Xenopus tropicalis: one gene and its partners. The protein of the gene in region 1 purifies or fractionates together with the protein of each later gene. This does not show direct contact. Links are inferred from orthologs where the notes say so. Each region holds a gene or a part of one and is shown in the gene's direction. Other genes may lie near its edges.

Region 1 (4,030 bases):
AGTGCTTTGAGGCCACTGGGAGCAACGTACAAGGGGTTGGGCAGACACTGGTTGGGGATCCCCACCCTAGAGACTAGTCCGTAAATCAGTTAGTAGTTTGCTTTAGTGTATGTCCACATTGCTATCAATTTTACTCTGTTAACTTCCTTTAAAGGTTTAGATGTTAGTGACTTTAGTGGTTTGAAACACCTCAAGGTGGTTTCAGAAAGAAGCAACATTATATTTGCACACTCAAACATACAAAAAAAGTTCTCATGCAGAATTTAATGGTTCACCTACTTTTAGATACAGGTATGTAAGTAGTTCTATTTAGAACAGGAATCAGTTCTTAAATAACATTCCAACTTTCATTCATTCTTGTACCGAAATCTGTAGGTGCTCTTCTTCATCAAACCATTTTATATTAAACTTACCTCTCCACATTCCAGTTTTAACCATGTCCCTTTTTCACATTCCAGTCGCATCGGATTTGTTTTTCTTAACCCAATCAGTGCTTTTATTCACTTCCTTTTCCTGCACACATGTCACTGCTGTTTTACAACACTTCAAGCTAGTTTTGAGTCTGACCCTCATTCTATTTTTTTAGCACATAGGTTCTATATTACTTATGTTAGCAAAGCATGCATATTATGAATAAAGGCCTTTTTGTCTGTTAGATGAAATCTGTATTTCACATATTTGCAACAGATACCAGAATTATACATATTTAAATATGTTTAAATAGGAAACATGACAAATCTGCTGTTTCAGGCAGGACTAAATTCAACTAATACTTTTTAGAACAATATATTCTTTTTAGATAATTTATGGATTAAAACCAGAATGTATCTCTAATAAATGGGTATTTCCTTATAGTTTAGTTTAGACTTTGGTTCTGTGAAACAATACATTTTCTTATTTTCAATTAATTTTTAGAAGTGTATTTATCAAATGGCAAATACATTTTATCTGTGGTCAATTTTTAAAAAAAACTTTTTATTTTTTTTACAGTTTTTGTATTTTTATTTAGCCAGCCTGAGAGTTTTGGAATGTATTGCTATACAACATACTGTTTTTGATACAGCTTGACTGTACAGGTTTAGGAGTAGATTTATTAATATTCTACTATCCCTTGCTTTTTTTAAGAAAAAAACTAAAATGGTTTAGCAGTCAAGGCAAAACAACTCAGTTGCAAACAAAATTAGTATTTTTTATAATCGCTGAAATTGATTGGAAAAGTACAGAATAAAAAATGATTGACCATCAAATGTCTTGAATGCTGAACAAACACTTTAAATTGACTTCTTATGCATCTTCAGCAGATTTTAGGTGGTGCCATTTTCCATTCAAGGTTTTTTTAATGGATATAGTGGTGATTTGCCATTAATCTTACTAATCATAATGTAAAAGACTATTTGGGAAATGTGTAGAATATTATTTCCCTTAACATTTTCTAATTATGGTCCTGTATGTGCATGATATTTTACTTTTCATTAGCTTTATTATTTTTCTGTCAAAGCACTGTATCATAATATTTTCTTCTTTTTACCCTAGACCACCACAATATAAGACAATCATCCTTGAAAGAGGACCGGATGGCCTTGGTTTCAGTATTGTAGGAGGGCACGGTAGCCCTCATGGTGACCTGCCAATATATGTCAAGACAGTGTTTTCTAAGGTAAATGCAAATGTTATGAATCAACCTTTTAAATGCACCTGCTCATCATAAAGGCATTTATATGAAGTGTGAAAAAACCATTCACAGTGATGCAGCTGGCCTAATGCTTCTTGATGTCAAGTTAAAGGTTCCTCTGTGGCATGCATGTTAAAAGCTGATTTATTTCTTTTTGAAGGCAGAAGGCTCAGATATTTTCCTGGGTGGGAAACTCACAAGAAAAGATTAATAAAGGCATTTCATATTGGAAAAATTAAAACATGAAAATATAATCCATTTATACATATTAGTGGTTTTATGCTCAAATCTTTCGAAATTTTTTTGTGAAAAGTCAACAACCTTTATGTCAAATATATGTCAATTATTTTCAATACATGTGGGTAATTTAATATATAGAATGATTGAGAAAACAGCAGGGGTCATTTATAAAGTTTGTGCAGTGCAGGTTTATTTTCACAAATGGTAGTTTGCGCATGTTATTCCATTTTGCACTGCTATGCTTGTCTTTCCTTTTTTTGCGAATTGCAGTGAAATGCAAATTGTACACAACAGAGATTGCAATTTGCATGGGCACGCCCTCTGTGTGACTATTGCACTTATTTTCTCTCTTCGAATATAAATTTGCAAAATCGGTTTTAGTGAATATTTTTTCCGCCACTAAAGTTGTGGTGTAACTCAGACTCAGAGCGCATACATATTCGCAGTTAGCGAATATACCACATTTATAAAGCTTTTAGGGCATTCACACTGCCAAAATAAATTGTTCAGTATTTTAAAAATATTTTAATACGCTTTAGTTAAGTGTAGTCATAGTACTCAAATTTACAGTTCCCAGCATTCTGGGTAAAAGGCTCCATACCCTGTATATCAGGGGTCCCCAAACTTTTATACTTGTGAGCCACATTCAAGTGGAAGTGTTGGGGAGCCACACAAGCATGAAAATAAGAGCTGTGGTTGGCTATTTGGTAGCCAATGTGGGCTGTTAGGCTACATGAGACTGTGCTAGAACACCAGGTTTTTATTCAACCAAAACTCTCCTCCAGCCAGAAATTCAAAAATAAGCACCCGCTTTGAGGCCACTGGGAGCAAACATTCAAGGGGTTGGTAAGCAACATGTTGCTTCTGAGCCACTGGTTGGGAATCACTGCTGTATAATGTTGGTGCATCTTCTAGTTTGAGTTATTGATCCAACAAACCTAAAGACTGTTGATTTTGGATATGATGAGCTGATACAACTTTGATATTGCAGGGTGCAGCCTCAGAAGATGGACGCTTGAACAGAGGTGACCAAATTATTGCAGTGAATGGGCAGAGCTTAGAAGGAGTGACCCATGAAGAAGCGGTGTCCATCCTTAAGAGAACAAAAGGAACAGTTACATTGACTGTGCTTTCCTAATGCCTCTTTCTAACCATCTGGGTCCCATTTGTTAGGGATCCTTTGGTAATTCTTGATTTATATTTGTATGTAAGGAGAAAGTAGTCTGTTTTAGGTCATTTGTGCAGCAATCAGTATTTCGAGCAATCGAAAAAAGTATTTTTAGTCATTAGACTAGCTTGCTATTCCATCATAGTATTAATATGAAATTCTGCTATTTCTGTTAATCAACTACAGATTGTTTTTATTGTGAACAGTCAAGCTCCTGGCAAAATCAGCCAGGATCTTCTAAAACTACTGTGATTACTACAAAGACTGTAAAATGTGAAACAAGTTTTGGGCAAACATAACAAAAGTCCTTTTAAACTGAGTATTTAAAATGAAAAAAAAAAGGTGGTAGTTTTATAGAAAAGTTTTTAGGGACAAAACTTACATTGTCTGAAAAACACCTCCATATTCTGAATGTCTCCCAAATGTAGCATGGGAACTGAGAATGCATCTAGGCATTTTTTTGAAGTAGTATTTCAATATAAATTCTTCATAATCTTAGACGTGTTTACTTCCTTAACTGCTATAACATATGTCACATTAGTTGGTGCAGTTTCAACACTGGAGGTTTATTTCAAACCATAAGCAAAGCAGTAAAGGTAATGGTTTGTAGCAGGGAGCGGAATCATTACCTTTACTGCAATGCTAAATAAAACCATTTAAGGGTGACAAATCAGAAATGTGTTTTCGAGTATTGGCCAGCAGTGCATTCTGCATTTAGTATTAATAATAACACCAAGTTCTCTTTTCTATTAAAAATTAGTTTTGCAATAAGTCACATTATATTTTGTGGTGTGCACCCTTCATGAAAAATATAACCTCTTGCTATTGATATCTTGCTCGGACTTTAGCATCTTGCTGTTCTGCTCTTACAGTCTTAAATTAGCCACATGCTGTCGGCCCTACATAAAATAAGGGGGCCCATTTATTATACGAAACACTGTGAATTTAAT
Region 2 (4,282 bases), on another chromosome or scaffold:
GAGATACTCAGCATCATTATACAGAGCAGCCCGGTCATTATCAGTGTATAGAGATACTCAGCATCATTATACAGAGCAGCCCGGTCACTATCAGTGTATAGAGATACTCAGCATCATTATACAGAGCAGCCTGGTCATTATCAGCGTATAGAGATACTCAGTATCATTATACAGAGCAGCCTGGTCATTATCAGCATATAGAGATACTCAGCATCATTATACAGAGCAGCCTGGTCATTATCAGCGTATAGAGATACTCAGTATCATTATACAGAGCAGCCTGGTCATTATCAGCATATAGAGATACTCGGCATCATTATACAGAGCAGCCTGGTCATTATCAGTGTATAGAGATACTCAGTATCATTATACAGAGCAGCCTGGTCATTATCAGTGTATAGAGATACTCAGCATCATTATACACAGCAGCCTGGTCATTATCAGTGTATAGAGATACTCAGCATCATTATACAGAGCAGCCTGGTCATTATCAGCGTATAGAGATACTCAGCATCATTATACAGAGCAGCCTGGTCATTATCAGCGTATAGAGATACTCATCATCATTATACAGAGCAGCCTGGTCATTATCAGCGTATAGAGATACTCATCATCATTATACAGAGCAGCCTGGTCATTATCAGTGTATAGAGATACTCATCATCATTATACAGAGCAGCCTGGTCATTATCAGCGTATAGAGATACTCATCATCATTATACAGAGCAGCCTGGTCATTATCAGCGTATAGAGATACTCAGTACCATTATACAGAGCAGCCTGGTCATTATCAGTGTATAGAGATACTCATCATCATTATACAGAGCAGCCTGGTCATTATCAGTGTATAGAGATACTCAGCATCATTATACAGAGCAGCCCGGTCATTATCAGTGTATAGAGATACTCAGCATCATTATACAGAGCAGCCTGGTCACTATCTGTGCATAGGAATATTAGTCAGAGTTATACAGCAGTTGAAAATTAAAAAAGTCCCATGAGAAAAATTCCTTTTTATTGAGCAATGACTCTGAAACCTGCCCTTATCCCCCTCCCCACTGTCGGTACAGGTTTTTTCTGGCACGTCACTCACTGGAACAGGTGAATCTGTCAGTACGACCCACCCCGATTTATTGATCCACCTGTCGCCGTGGGAGAATAAGCCACATTGGCAGGAGAGTGGCAGAGACTAAGCGCCGGGTGCTGCAGCTCTCTAGGAGGTTAATGTACCACAGTTCCAGCTCTGCTTCCTGCTTTACACAGTACAATCCTGCCCACATGTGTGTGTGTTTGTGTGTCTGTATCTTGTGTGTGTGTGTGTGTGAATAGGGGTGGGTCTGAGGCGTGTCTGCCTTGGAGATTGTCAGGGGAAGGTTCAGAGAATAGGAAACAGACAAACAAACACAGGCGGAGGGGAGAAGCTGAGGGTTTTCTCTCTTACAGGAGAGAAGAGAAAGAGTGCAGTGGCACAGTTAGGGCACAGCAAGTTGGGGTAAGGCAGTGGCATCAGGAGCTCCACAGTTGTGGGCTTTACAGGGGAACCTGGGGGCAAAAGTGAGGTCTGGGTTCTGGACTAGAGAAAGAACTCTGTGAGTGTGCAGCTAGAAAGAACTATGCAAGAGCTGTGAGGGAAGGGAGACTTGGGCAACACTTGTGGCGCTGCAGAAAGTCTCTCCAAGTCATGCCCCGTAGTCAGACTCCTGGAGCTACTAGAGGTTATCTCAGCGCAGAAAGAATGTAACATCACTTACAGTCTATATTTAGCCCCACATTTTTTGTCCACCGAAGAGAAGTTACTAAGGCAAAATGGTGAATTTAACCTCAAGAAGAAAATTAAGGTAGGACTTTGCTATTTTTAACTGCTACTACAGACCTCTGGGGCGGCAGCTTGCAGGAATAGAAGTGGGGGAAAATATCTGTAGCTTGGGGCAGAGTATGAGCGAAATGGAATAAGGGTTTGGGGAGCTTGAACCTCCCTAACCCAACACCAATGCATTTACTTCCACAAATAGGATGGAGATATTATCCGTGGAATTGGCACTGCGTTTATACTGCTGTATATATATATTTATACATAATATAGATACTGTATTTATACTACTGTGTGTTCTGGGGGCATCCTACATGGACTTGGCACTGCATTTATGCTACCATATATTCTGGGGTTTTTATACATAATATGGATACTGTATTTATGCTACTGTGTGTTCTGGGGGCATCCTACATGGACTTGGCACTGCATTTATGCTACCATACATTCTGGGGTTTTTATACATAATATGGATACTGTATTTATGCTACTGTGTGTTCTGGGGGCATCCTACATGGACTTGGCACTGCATTTATACTACCATATAATCCAGGGTTTTACACATAATATGGATACTGTATTGATGCTACCATGTGTTCTGGGGGCATTCTATATGGAATTGGCACTGTATTGTCTTCTCATGTGTTCTGGGGTATTAAATAATAAACGTTTAACTGGCCCTGGGATACTATGAAGAAATATGTATAGGTAATGTCTTTACTCCATGGGTCCCCCTAGGCTGCAGATTCCTGGGAGAAGCACCTGGAGTTCTAATTATTATCATTGTCTTATTATCTAGTTTCAAACTGCCCCATACAGACACACATAGTACCGGGTTACTGTCCAACAAAAGAGCGACTCCCTGAGTATTACAAGGACAGGCTCAGACAGTGGTTGACTTTTATTTAGTGTTGAGTGATCTATATACATAATTAGGGCAAGCTCAGGCAACAATGGGTATTTTTTATCAGGACAGGCTTAGACAATGATGGCGGTTTCATATCGGGTGTACGGTTATTCCTTGCTGACTAGCAGAATAGGCGTAGCTGATATTGGGGCTATTAATACTGTTTAAGGCATCCTCTGCTGATTATCAAGATGGGGGTAGACAATATTTGAGGCTCATTCTCTGACAATTATCAGTTCAGGCCAAGAGAATATTGAAGCTATAAATATAGTGTGAGGCATCCTTATTATCTACATGGGTTTGACAGTGTGGAAAGGGTTCAAATAAAGTGTCTGGTATCTTCTGCAGATCTTCAGGGTGGGGTTAGACATGCTGTGGCTTTAAATAAGGCGTAGCGCCATCCTCTGCTGATAAGACAACATTGAGTCTTTAATTAAAGGGGGCTGTTCACTGCGGGACCCCCATTTGAAAGCCAGAAGGAGTCCAAAGAAGAGGGCAAATAATTCAAAAACTTGAAGACCAGTTGAAAAGTTGCTAAGAACTGTCCATTCTATAACATACTAAGGGCTCTGGCACACGAGGAGATTAATCTCCCCGGATTGCCATCCCACCGGCGAAAATGTAAGTCGCCCGTGGGATGGCACACGCTGCACAGGCGATTTTGGCAAATCTCCGAAAATGCCTCGCTGATTTGCCAAAATCAACTGCGCAGCGTGTGCCATCCCACCGGTGACTTACATTTTCGCCGGTGGGATGGTAGTTCGGGAAGATTAGTCGCCGGTGACAAGGGAGATTTGTCGCGGGCGACTAATCTCCCCGTGTGCCACAGCCCTAAATCATTGGGACAATCTAGTTAATGCTGGGGTAAGTAATAGCCTGTATATAATCAGGATAGGGTTAAATAATCATAAAGAAAGGCTTAGACAGTGATGAGTTGAATTTCAGATTGTAAGAACAGGTCTGGACAATGACTGCGGTTATTATAAGGTAATGTTCCCGTGCAGATATCCTGATAGGTTCAGACAATGGGCAGTTTCCTGCACATGTAGTCCCTTGCTACCTGCTGGTTTTCTCTCCAGTGTGGGGAAATGATGCAGACATGCTTTCGCGAATATGGATTAATATCCAGTGTTGAATGATCTCCTGATTATATCAGAGACTGGCTCTACTGGATCACCGTATGATGTTGAGACACGTCTTGCCTGCAGATTATCTGTACAAGCAAATACAGCGCCGAGTTTCTGCCTAGACTAGATGACCAATCATATGCACATTAGCAGGACAGACTGAACAAGTCTATACAATAACATATTTATGGGATACCCCTGCTTTTTTTTTTAGACTTTCCCGAAAGCCTTTCTTCAGGTACAGTTCTGGACTTGTAGCATTAGTTGAACCTGACAATTTATTTTGAATTGTTTGGGGATGAATTTCCATGGGTTATTTCAGGATAACATTGAGAAGTAGAGGGGCTGTGGGCTTGAAATATGTGAATGGGAAGAAGGAGGTCACTGGCACATTGGGTCTGTAATAAGGACCTCTAGCCAGCCCTTTGCAGCTCCTGA
Region 3 (4,244 bases), on another chromosome or scaffold:
CAGAAAGTATTTCTTTATTAACCAAGTATAACAGCCTAAAGGCTTCTGTACTTCCTGTTTTTTTGCTGCAAGTGTACTGGTTTTCAGCCAGAAACCTGTAAATGGCTTAAAATGAACCCCTTATTTATGCCTTCATCTTGTTTATGTTAACTGAGTGTGGCCTTTATAATGGGTGTGGTTTGCTTAAATTGTTTCTATGACACTCTCTAATTATATTTTTCCCCTTCCTTCTTTCACCTATTTTAAATATAAAAATCTGAGAGCCCTGTACAATGTTATATGACTGTTACCACTGTGAAACCTAACTAGTATAAAAGCAAGACCATGTAATACAGGCACGGACTGGCAATATATGGATTCCGGCAAATGCCAGAGGGGCTGCTGCAAGATGCCAAATAAACAGTCACTATTTATAGGGCTAATGGAGGGCTGTTTGGGCCTCTGTGTGTTTGAAATGCCTGGGCTTATTTTGAATCCCAGTCCTAACCCAATGATGCTGAATCATCGCGTGTGAGTCCTACCCGAAGGCATGGGTAGGTCCAACGTCACCGAAGCTAGGGTGAGACCCACCAGGTCGTTGGAGTCTCCTTCGCCTTGCAAGTTTTGGCCTGGGGTCAAGCCCAATTGACTATGACACCCATCCAGGGTGCAACAGGGCCAGAACTAGAGGTAGGCAGTACAGGCAGGTACCAAGAGGGGCAACTATTTCACACACAGCAGCACACTAGTTCAAAGGCTCATTTTCATGGGGGCCATCCAGGGGCCTATAAAAGCTGTTCTCTGTCAGTCAGCAGTATATCGCCTGTGTATGGGGCCCTCAGAGGAGCCTACCCAACCGATATCTGCCTGATGCAAGTTAAAAATCCAGCCAGGAGGATGAGCATGTTGGTGCATTGTTGCTGGCCTCATCTCAACAGCCTGTATCCTGGCATTTAGTGAGAATCTTTCGGTGTATTGCCACCTTAATTCCAGATCCTTGTCTCTCCTCCCCACCCTGTTACCTTACCTGGTCTTTGCCCATCTCTAACTCTACTACATAGGGGTAATGGTGTATTAAAAGCATTTGGGGAGATAGACCCTTGCCTTGAGTGCCAAGATACTTGCTACAGGTCTTGTAACGCAAACATGCAGGTAAATGATCCGTCAGCAAGATACCCTATGTCCTTATGCCCTATGAACTTTGCCAAGCTTCCAAGTACTAATTTATAATGCACAATAAAATAAGGCAGATAGCCCCAAACAGTGGGTAGCCAGCCAGTGTGATCTAATTCTCCTCACATTCTCCGACAGCGTATAACTCAAGAGAGCTTTGTTGTAAGAATTGTGTTGCTGAGTTACTTCCCAGCGCTGGAAGGGTTACTAAACCTTGCCCTGAATAAACCTTGGAAGCACAAAAGGCTCCTGTGTGTTCCGGAGTGGCAGCCCAAATGGCCAATGGGACACGGACAAGAGGAGGCGTGCTAGCCAATCGGCAGGAGCGGGCGGTGACAGCGCGGTGACTGAGGCTGGCAGAGTGTGTTGGGCTGCCGTGAGGGACTGGAGGGCTGTGCTGTATGTGTCGGAAGGATATCTATCGGCGGGACCGGAGAAAGGAGAAGCTAGGCGCTCTCACAGTAAGTGCGCACTTATGGAGTTAGCAGTGGATTGTAGCTGCCACGCCGCTGCCTTTTGCTCTAATTATTGGTTTACGCGCTCTTGTTGTTCCGCCGTCCCTGGCAATACACAATTGTATGTATGTATTTATGTAGAACTTTACCGATATATCGCTATTAGCCTACCATACCCAGTGCTATACAGTATACTGTATAGAAAAGTGCTCAAGGGTGCAAGCATTTTATACCTACAGGTTAAACTGCAGCTGTTCTGTACCATTTGTAATGCCCACATCCAGTTCATATTTTCATGTTCGTACCTCTGTACAGTTTACTGTGTGCCCTTAGTCATGGGCACTTACTGGCACCCCTATGCTATAATATTTATATGTCCAAGTTTACGAGAACCTAATGGCATACCATAACCTGCTGTAATGTAACCGTGCCCTGCACTGTGGGCACCAGTTCCCACCTCATACTGTAATGTTGGTGTGTGCCAGGCAAGGGTACCAGTTGGCACACTAGTAACATGCAGCATTACTGCTGTACCCTGCGCAGGAGTCTCTAATTCCTTTCTGTTATACATACATCTTGTTACATCCTGTGTCTTGGCTCAGCCTGTCTATGTGGGATCTTTCATCCTGTAACCATGCTGTATTCCAGGGTATGGGCACCTACTGGCACCTATTCCTTGCTCTAGTACTGGTGTGTCCTTGTGTAGGCACCTACTGGCACACAGTTCCATCCTGTAATACTGATGTGCCCCAGTGTGTAGGCACCATACTAGCACACAGTTCCATCCTGTAATACTGATGTGCTCCAGTGTATAGGCACCTACTGTCACACAGTTCCATCCTGTAATACTGATGTGCTCCAGTGTGTAGGCACCTACTAGCACACAGTTCCATCCTGTAATACTGATGTGCCCCAGTGTGTAGGCACCTACTAGCACACAGTTCCATCCTGTAATACTGATGTGCCCCAGTGTGTAGGCACCTACTAGCACACAGTTCCATCCTGATAATACTGATGTGCTCCAGTGTGTAGGCACCATACTGGCATACAGTTCCATCCTGTAATACTGATGTGCTCCAGTGTGTAGGCACCTACTGGCACACAGTTCCATCCTGTAATACTGATGTGCTCCAGTGTGTAGGCACCTACTAGCACACAGTTCCATCCTGTAATACTGATGTGCCCCAGTGTGTAGGCACCTACTAGCACACAGTTCCATCCTGATAATACTGATGTGCTCCAGTGTGTAGGCACCATACTGGCATACAGTTCCATCCTGTAATACTGATGTGCTCCAGTGTGTAGGCACCTACTGGCACACAGTTCCATCCTGTAATACTGATGTGCTCCAGTGTGTAGGCACCTACTAGCACACAGTTCCATCCTGTAATACTGATGTGCCCCAGTGTGTAGGCACCTACTAGCACACAGTTCCATCCTGATAATACTGATGTGCTCCAGTGTGTAGGCACCATACTGGCACACAGTTCCATCCTGTAATACTGATGTGCTCCAGTGTGTAGGCACCTACTGGCACACAGTTCCATCCTGTAATACTGATGTGCTCCAGTGTGTAGGCACCTGCTGGCCCCCATTCCATCCTGTAATACTGATGTGCCCCAGTGTGTAGGCACTTACTAGCACACAGTTCCATCCTGTAATACTGATGTGCTCCAGTGTGTAGGCACCTACTGTCACACAGTTCCATCCTGTAATACTGATGTGCCCCAGTGTGTAGGCACCTACTAGCACACAGTTCCATCCTGAAAATACTGATGTGCTCCAGTGTGTAGGCACCATACTAGCACACAGTTCCATCCTGTAATACTGATGTGCTCCAGTGTGTAGGCACCTACTGGCACACAGTTCCATCCTGTAATACTGATGTGCTCCAGTGTGTAGGCACCTACTGGCCCCCATTCCATCCTGTAATACTGATGTGCCCCAGTGTGTAGGCACCTACTAGCACACAGTTCCATCCTGTAATACTGATGTGCTCCAGTGTGTAGGCACCTACTGGCCCCCATTCCATCCTGTAATACTGATGTGTCCCAGTGTGTAGGCACCTACTGGCCCCCATTCCATCCTGTAATATTACATTCTCACAGTGTGTGGGCACCTACTGGCTCCCATTCCATCCTGTAATACTGATGTGCCCCAGTGTGTAGGCACCTACTGGCCCCCATTCCATCCTGTAATACTGATGTGCCCCAGTGTGTAGGCACCTACTGGCCCCAGTTCCCGCATGTAATACTAAATTCTCCCAGTGTGTGGGCACCTACTGGCCTCTATTCCATCCTGTAATACTGATTTGTCCAATTGTGAGAGCACCTACTGGTCCCCATTCTATCCTGTAGTGCTGATTTGTCCAAGTGTGTGGGCATCTACTGGCAATCCATTCCATCCTGTAATACTAAATTCTTAGTGTGTGAGCACCTACTGGCCCCCATTCCATCCTGTAATACTGATTTGTCCAATTGTGTGAGTACCTACTGGTCCCCATTCTATCCTGTAGTACTGATTTGTCCAAGTGTGTGGGCACCTACTGACAATCCATTCCATCCTGTAATACTAAATTCTCACAGTGTATGAGCACCTACTGGCCCCCATCCTATCCTGTAATACCAAATTCTCACA

What was found. The genes of interacting proteins can lie anywhere in the genome.
Region 2: the proteins of mpdz (region 1) and plekha2 purify together in Homo sapiens (affinity purification with western blotting; 3 studies listed by BioGRID and IntAct, with this or other methods). This does not show direct contact. The link is inferred for Xenopus tropicalis from reciprocal best matches to the Homo sapiens genes MPDZ and PLEKHA2.
Region 3: the proteins of mpdz (region 1) and amot purify together in Homo sapiens (affinity purification with mass spectrometry; 4 studies listed by BioGRID and IntAct, with this or other methods). This does not show direct contact. The link is inferred for Xenopus tropicalis from reciprocal best matches to the Homo sapiens genes MPDZ and AMOT.

What each region holds. Positions count from the first base shown.
Region 1 is NC_030677.2:124,856,746-124,860,775, forward strand, and holds part of mpdz (multiple PDZ domain protein), read left to right. Parts: intron 1-1,533; coding exon 1,534-1,657; intron 1,658-2,903; coding exon 2,904-3,050; 3' UTR 3,051-4,030. UniProt on the Homo sapiens protein: Member of the NMDAR signaling complex that may play a role in control of AMPAR potentiation and synaptic plasticity in excitatory synapses. Promotes clustering of HT2RC at the cell surface.
Region 2 is NC_030679.2:131,935,290-131,939,571, reverse strand, and holds the start of plekha2 (pleckstrin homology domain-containing family A member 2), read left to right. Parts: upstream 1-1,482; 5' UTR 1,483-1,838; intron 1,839-4,282. UniProt on the Homo sapiens protein: Binds specifically to phosphatidylinositol 3,4-diphosphate (PtdIns3,4P2), but not to other phosphoinositides. May recruit other proteins to the plasma membrane.
Region 3 is NC_030684.2:52,198,556-52,202,799, reverse strand, and holds the start of amot (angiomotin), read left to right. Parts: upstream 1-1,444; 5' UTR 1,445-1,613; intron 1,614-4,244.